Linked DNA regions of Kluyveromyces lactis. The protein of the gene in region 2 binds, or shares a complex with, the protein of the main gene of each other region. Links are inferred from orthologs where the notes say so. Each region holds a gene or a part of one and is shown on either strand. Other genes may lie near its edges.

The links. Proteins that work in one complex are often made in the same cells at the same time.
Region 1: SWI4 (region 2) and SWI6 share a complex: the UniProt entries of both Saccharomyces cerevisiae proteins name them as parts of the transcription complex. The link is inferred for Kluyveromyces lactis from reciprocal best matches to the Saccharomyces cerevisiae genes SWI4 and SWI6.

Annotation. Positions count from the first base shown.
Region 1 is NC_006039.1:143,151-147,190, reverse strand, and holds SWI6 (transcriptional regulator SWI6), read right to left. Parts: upstream 2,885-4,040; coding exon 659-2,884; downstream 1-658. Other genes in the region: TOS4 (Tos4p), read left to right, coding at 1-452; VTA1 (Vta1p), read left to right, coding at 3,157-4,040. UniProt on the Saccharomyces cerevisiae protein: Part of a complex involved in cell-cycle-dependent transcription. SWI4 and SWI6 are required for formation of the cell-cycle box factor-DNA complex. The repeated element in the upstream region of HO (5'-CACGAAAA-3') is called the cell cycle box (CCB).
Region 2 is NC_006041.1:1,852,440-1,856,546, forward strand, and holds SWI4 (SBF complex DNA-binding subunit SWI4), read right to left. Parts: upstream 2,885-4,107; coding exon 83-2,884; downstream 1-82. Other genes in the region: U6 snRNA complex subunit LSM4, read left to right, coding at 3,948-4,107. UniProt on the Saccharomyces cerevisiae protein: Part of a complex involved in cell-cycle-dependent transcription. SWI4 and SWI6 are required for formation of the cell-cycle box factor-DNA complex. The repeated element in the upstream region of HO (5'-CACGAAAA-3') is called the cell cycle box (CCB).

The DNA.
Region 1 (4,040 bases), on a different chromosome or scaffold from region 2:
TAAACACTCCCTCGCCAAAGAAGAAATCCAAAAAGAAATCAAGAAAGCAAATTGACAGTGATGAAGCTTCAAAAGAACAAACTCTTTCCTCTTTGACTACAAGGGGGGTAGATTACAAAGAATTACAGCATGTATTGTCCAATCACTTAGCATTCTCTAACATTCAACAAGTGCCACTCTTTCAATTGCAGGATGTTAACTCTGTTGTCTCGAAGTTAAGCCGCACAGAACTGCGCGCTATTTTGAATGACGAACAATGTATCGGAGTAATTTACCGTACAGGAAAAGATGCCGCAGGAAAGCCACTGGATGAAGAATACTACTATGATGCAGAAAATGATCCTGACGATGACAGAAGACAGCTGGTAGCATCACTCAAGGGTGGCAGATCTGGTTTAAGATCATGCAGGAGAGTGCATAAACAGTATTTCTGGAAGAAACCAACTAAATAATCTAAAAATTCTGCTCGACTTGCTTTTTAACACAAGGCGTCGAAGAAACAAATATATACATAGGCAATAAATGTAATAGAAAAAAAAGGTTCATCGTATTTTATAGGTAAAAGTCCACTAAAATTACAACAGCTTGCGTAAACTGTTTAGTTAGAAATAAAAGTACAACAAGAGTTATTTCCAAATAGGTTACCATCAATTGGTATTTATTCGGCGGCACTCTCTAAAAAGTTGTTCACCTCGTCTGTATCTATATCTTCAGGATCTTCATTAGATATAGCTTGCAAAAGACCGTCAAGCATTGAGTCAACCTTCTCTTCATCTATCTTCAAGCAGAGAGACAAGACTTTTCTGAATTTAGATTCTAAATTCTTCTGCTTGTCTTTGATAGTCTGTAAAGTTGAGTCTAAATGCAATTCGTTTCTATTGTACGCTTTGATTCTTGCTTTAAGAATTTTGGGATGTGGGATTTCTGCTCTGGAAGGGAAGTTATCGTATATTTCATGAACAAGTTGTGATAAATTGCAATGTTTGAGGAATAGTTCAAAATCATTGTTATATTCGTCTTTGATCTTTTCCTCAAACTTTGTGTAAACGTAAGAGATTCTGAAAGGCTCATCAGCATCGAATGCAATATCGGCTGAGTTCAGACCTTCTTCTTGGACATCATCCAGTGATAGTCCTAATTCTCTAGAAGCAAGTTGGAAATTTTGATCTTCTTCAGCGATAGTGTTTTCCACATTGTTCAGTCTGTCGGACAACAGATTATATTCATCTTGGATTTGCTTTGCCTTAGCCAATCTATCCCGTGCATTAGCCAACGCTTCTCTCTTTATGTTGAGTGTATCGAGGAGCTCCTTCATCTTCCCATTATGTTGTTTAATTTCATCACCATAATCATTCGATATTTTTGAGAGGAGTGATTTTATATTTGTGATTAACGATGTAGACTCAGCCATCGGATCCAACGAAGTTTCATGAGTTTTGGTAGGTGTGGCCATAAGATTTTTTGTATTCGATTGAAAACGGGGTTGAGTACCTGCACCAAAATCCACAGGGCACAATCCGGAATTGTTTGCAATATTAGGATCAGCACCATAATCCAACAATGCTTCGACAATGGCAACGTTTCCAAGCCTGGCGGCAATATTTAAACAGGTATCACCATTAGAATCTCTAGCATTGAGTAAATGAGTGATAACCCATTGAAGATCGATATCTTCTAGTAGCACGCAATGCGATTCTTTAGTTCTGCTTTGCTTTTTAACTATCCAACCCATCAAAATATCGAGGTAATACTTAGCCGCTGCATTACAACCAGGCATACCAGAAGTAATCACAATATGATGAAGAACGGTTCTATCCATGTCATCAACCATTACGATACAAGGGTACAAGTAGTCCAACAGTATCTCGAATGTACCAGAATCGTAATTGTTTACCGACTTCACAGATTTTACAAGCACTGATTCACCGGACTTATCGCCGATTCTTCTATCACTGCCAAAGACAATGAGCTGTTTGAGAAGGTCTAGATTGGCTATGGAACACAGCCAATGCAAGGAAGTGTTTCCATGTTCATCAATTGGGATGTTAAAATTTAGTGGAACGTTTGGGAATTGTGTGTCCAGTTCTTGTACCTGCTGGGTTAAGCTGACCGATGGGTAACCTTCTGCAACGTTCAAATTCGTAGTTTCGGGGAAAAGAATACGCTGAAGTAAGGTCTCTAACTTCGCACGTTCATCATTTGAGTAATTACTAACTGGAGGCAGAGTTTTCTGTAACGTAGAGACCGTAGGTAAATCATGTTGGAAAACCGGGATCTTTGAAACAGATTTGGTTTGATGCCTCTTCGTAGGAGAATCGGGAAGATCTAGAAGCTCATGTTTAACAGTGTCTGGCTCACCACCACTGATTCTAGAAGTGGTTCCATTTGTAATTGTTGCAGGCCTGAAATTACTTCCTTCGGCAGTAACATTCCCATCATTTTTATTCGAGCTGTTGTTTCCGTTATTTGTATTTTCAGTACCACCATTCTCCATTGTGTGGTTGTCCGTCTTTCTACCATTATTCTCAGGAGTCTTCTGACCATCGTCTTCAACGCCATTGTGATTAGCTTCATTATCATCGTCATGGTCCGTCAAATTTTCCGAACCAGAATCATCTTTAATTTGCAGCAAATCCCATAACTCATGTGCTTTTTGTAAAGTGATCCATCGGGTGCCAGACCTATCAGTGTCTATAAGTATATTGAATTGAGAAGTGACCATATCATCGAGATTCTCAACCAATGGGTCATCGCGATGGAAATTGAAACTTGATAAGTTGGTCAACAAAGGGATAAATTGGTCCAGACAGACATATCCGTCTTGAAGTCGCTGCTGGAAAGTAATACGGTCTCCCTTATGCACCTTAAAAATAGGCCTGCTCATCGTCCACTTTATACCGTTAAATTGTGAAGGATCCCAGAACAATTACTAGTACAGTCAACGTTGTTCGTTGTTTAGAGTTCTCAATTGTGAAATTAGTACGATGTTCATAATTTGGTTAACATTCAAAAATCAATAAATTTTCTCCATTTGGCGTTTGTATATTATATTATCATAATATCGACATATTGGGATAGGGAATGAATGAGGTATCCAGGGGACTGAGACGTGCTCATACAGCCCAAAAGACTTTCGTTCACTATACTTGATACATTATGAGCAATGTAGCGCAGTACAAGAGAGTCATTAAACTCTCTAAAGAATTGTCAACTCTTCCTGTTATATCTTACTACTTAAAACTATATGCGGCAGAGCTAATATTGAATGAGAAGGAGCGAGACGGGGAAGCGACAGAGTTGGTCATGTCATTATTAGACGATGTAGAGAGCTTTAAAAATGAGGTGAATGATGAAGGTACTAAGATCCTGTTGAATGAAAAAGACAAAGCATTGGCTTTTGTGTTAAATCTTGCGATGTCAATCTATAACGGAATCTTAGTACAAATACAAGATGATAGGATTAATGACGATATAGGAAAGGGGCTATGGTGCTGTATAGATTTGTTTCAATGCTGTAAACATATATGGGCGGATAGTATGGATGCCATTGTAAAAGAGCAATGCGATAAAAGGATCAAACATTCCAAATACTATCTTATGAAATTGAAAAGGGGACAATTACAAAGCGACAAGAAGCCCCAAGAAACCACATCAGAACCTACAAATAGTAACCCACTAAGCGAAGTGGAAGATGAAATCCCAAATTTTGTCGAGGATCTAGAGGATCAGCCGCTATTCGAAGAGCCAAAAGATTCGGAAATAGCACAGCAGCATGGTCCGTCTCCCTCTTTGAAGGTAGATGAATCCGTTGAGAAGTTAAAGCAGCTTGAGTCGCCAGAAGTTCCAATAAAGTTGCTAACGCCAGAACCGATCAAATTAGAATCACCTAAACCGGCAGTGAGACATGATGTTGCTACTTTGAAAGAAATAATGTCAAGGGAGCACAGGATTCAAAAAGCACAACGAAGTGCTAAGTATGCAATAAGCGCTCTAAACTATGACGACATAGTAACTGCAAAAGCCGAGTTACTGCAAGCTTT
Region 2 (4,107 bases):
AGGTAAAGTCTAAGTAATGGGCCGTGTGCATTTTATACGTGCACCGTATGCGTAAATAAAAGTCATTAAAAGTTAGAAGTCCTTAGCGAGACTGAGTCTTTTCCATAGAGCTTAGGTCCATCTCGATGTCATTCAACTTAGAATCGATATTGTCTATGGACATACCAATAAGTTTTCTGAACTTTGATATTTTACTATCTGAAACCAGTTGATCTCTAGCGTATTTGATATTCCTAATCATTTGTCTTCTCTTGAACTGCTTGTAACACAATTCTACCATCAATTTTATGGATTCTTTCTTTTCGAATTCATTAGTAGCTTCCGTAGATGAGTCCTTTGAGAGACAGTTTTCCTCATCCTGTACTAATGTAGCAAGTGACAGCGCTTGCGACCGCTCCATATAGTTATCCAATTCAATGTTTTTCATCTTCAGCTGATTTTGGGCGGATCCCAACGTATTTCTATTATTTGAATCGGAGAGTGCCTTTTCTCTTGCGTTGGTGTGCTTCAGTTGGTTCTCGATCTCTTGGATTTGCTCTTCTTTCAGCTGTATACTATATTGAAGATTATCAAGATTATCTTCAATTATGTTGCTCAAAGATTGAGTAAGAGAACCCAACTGAGCAGTAGACTTGATGGTTGGAGATGATGATTTTTGTTCTTTTCGTACTCTTTGAGCATCAGGTCTACGTAATCTGTTCACAGGCTTCACTAATGTTGGTGGAGATGGTGGATGCAATTTAATTGCTGGAGTTAAGGATCCTTTCATTTTATCAATTGATAAGACATCGTTACGGTCGACTATGTTGTTTTTCCTAGTTGAAGTCTGTATACTATCCACTGTGGTGTCATTGAAGTCGTATTTGCTGGTGTCATCTATACGCTCTTCTTGACTGTTTCGAGGAGTGTTCGCCAAGAAAGTTGTCTTGGGTGGAGATTGTAGAATCTGGGCAGGAAGCGTTGGTTGAAATATATTTGGAACTGTGAAACGAGACAGTATCATAGATACTGTCTGATTTTCACCGTTAAGAATATCTGGTGACGCGCCGAAATATACTAATTTCTGGCATAAATCAACGTTCTTATTGAGGGCTGCTAAATGTAAAGGGGTATTTCCCAATGTATCTTGGTGATTGAGTGACATTCGCAGCAGTTTCTCATCCTCCTTGGCAAGTGTATCCAATATAGTGTCCATATAATACTCTATGACATGAGGTTCTTTGGACCTGTTTACTGTCAGCTCGACTAGGTAGTGCAAGGGTAATCTATGATTTGCATCTGGTGTTACTAGACATGGATTTAACATAGATATTATTTGTTGGAAAGAAACGGCTTTGTAACAATTGTTGTAAAAGACTGATTTTGTCAAACAATTGAAGCCCTTATCATTACAACGGAGAAGATCTGCGTCTTGGACTAGTAGTACTCTAATCAATGGAATGTTTGACATAGCGACAGCCCAATGTAAAGACGTATGTCCTTGGTCATCGATTAAGAAGTTTATGTCCAAATTGGATGGAGGCCTATAAAGTGCTTCGGGTAGCGTAGGTTCCACGGAATCGTATTCTGAAGATAAAACCTCCAAAATGAGTTCCTTATAATATTCTGTGGACACACCGTTCTTATCATGAGCTGATGAGAGTGGAGTTGGTGATTCTGATGAGCTAGACGAAGCTTTATCGTTGGAGGAGAAAACTTCCATTGAGGATCCTGTGGATGTAACGTTTGAGATCATAGACCCAGAAGAATGCCCCATATTATTACTGCCAGCATTGCCCTGCGTCATTTGTTTTAGTATTTTCATGTTATGCTGAGATTTCATGTTAGAGTTGACTGGCACTGGAGCCACGTTGTTTGTAACAGGTACCATTTGTTGGAACTGGTGTGTTTGTGGGTATGGATAAAATTGCAAAGGTTTCTGAGTAGTTTGGTATTTGATTGGATGGTTTGCTTGAGAAATAATATCAGGATTCACCTTACTGACCGGTACCATTGGAGTATCTTGTTCAGAAGCCAAATTAGGAAGCTTTTCAGTACTTTGGTTACTATTTTGACTCTGATGATGATGTTGCTGTTGAGGTGTTTGAAACATAACATTGTGTAAGGGGGACGGTTGAACTGGTTTATCCTTTTTCCCAGATCTCCTTATAGATTTTTTCTTCATTGGGGTCTTTGCATTCTTCTTTGGTGTTTTCTTATAAGCTGATGGTGATGTAATCCTTGCATTCGGGTCCAATTTCTTGATCTGAGATACTTTTGATCTTCTAGGAGGCATATCATTTGGATCAGGAATAAATTCTACAATCCTTTTGACAACCTTATTGTTAATATTGTATTTTTCCACCAGATATTTAGTCGATTCCCAGGGTATCCAGGTCCCCTGGAATCGTCCATAACCACCCTGAATCTTTTCATGTTTAATTTCATTGGCCTCTTTCTCCAAGATCTTGGTTCTCTGAGCCTTTGTAAACGAACCGGCTTTGAAAACTTGCGTTATGTTCAACCAATTATCGTTGCATCTTCTCATGATAAGGCATGGAGGTTTATCTTTGGTATAACATTCATATACATCAACGCCCGCGTATGTAGCAACTTCAATGAAAGTTTCCGATTCGCTGTCATAACCACTTGTCTCCGCCATAGTAGGTTCCTCACTGATTTTCTTTAAACTCCCATCGATCTGCCTTTCATCGATCATCGAAGAGGATGCTCCCGTGGATGAAGAAGAATTATTGGTAGCACCACTATTAGCTCCTAATAAATTAGAATTGAACGGTTTCAAAAGTGTATCATTCTCAGAATGATGATGAGTGCCCATGTGCATTTGAAGGATAGATTCCTTGTCAAAAACGTTGCCGCTATGATGCGACAAGTGTTGTTCCATAATTACACGAAAGAAATAAATGCACACGAAATCCTAATTGTTTTAGACAAAACAAAGCAAAGAAAAGCACGCCAGAGTCAACAAAGCGTTTCGAGTCGAGTGTCACCTTCTGCTGCTGCTTCTGCTTCTGCTCCTGGCAATGTGATCTCAAGCTCGCTCACTTTGTAAAATTCAACGTAAAATATACCACGCAGTTACGGTTATTCTAGCTTTTCCACCAGTGCCCAAAAATGTATCCAGATATCGGAGTAGCAGACCAAATCAATCTCAACTGGAATGCTCTGATATTTAGCTAAGTTCACGTAGCCTACAGACACTGTTAATAACAAAGGTATACACAAATCATAAATGACATTGTAAAGTGCGTGAGAAAGTCTGCTTTCAAAAGATTATAATCTTTATTTTAAACTGTGATCAAATCTCTTTACCCAATTGGGAAAAGAAAGATTAGATGCCTCACCAAAAAAAAAATCTCAGATCTCACATTTCAAACCTCACTCCAGTGTGTTCCCATATTCAAAGCTGAGGCAACCTTTCAAAACGCCTAGAAGGGTCCGTATGACACGAAGGAGTAGGGGGGCAGAAACAGTCTTAAAAGTGAAAAAATAAGAGAAAAATCAATAATCAGATTATATTCACGTGTCAGTATTACCCGGGACACTCACGTGATTCGAAACTTTTAAGTGTTACCCGGTAAATGAATTTTATGAAATGTCGAGAATGCTTTTTCCAGCTCAATGAAATTTGGAAAAACTGAAGTTATATTGTAATTGGAATTTAAATATTGTCAATGCAATTGTATGCATTTGGTTCGTCCTACTAGGGAGTGTTACATAACTCAAACTACAGATACGCAGATAAGCAACAAAGTCTAATTCATACTTTTTTCCCTCACATTTTTCCTTCTCCAGACAGACAGAGTCCTAATTTTTTGGTATATTGTATATTGTTCCGGCCCCACCCTTTCCTACGATTAAGTTACTACGGTTTGAGATACCTAAAGAAATACGACAGCACGGGCACACTATAATTGGTAAAACAGATCAATAAGTTATAACATAAAATGCTTCCATTATATTTATTGACCAATGCAAAGGGTCAAACAATGCATGTTGAACTAAAAAATGGAGAAACTGTGGAAGGTACGCTATCTGATGTAGACAATTGGATGAACTTGACACTTTCCAATGTCACTCATGTAGCTAGTGGAGAGACTTTGAAAT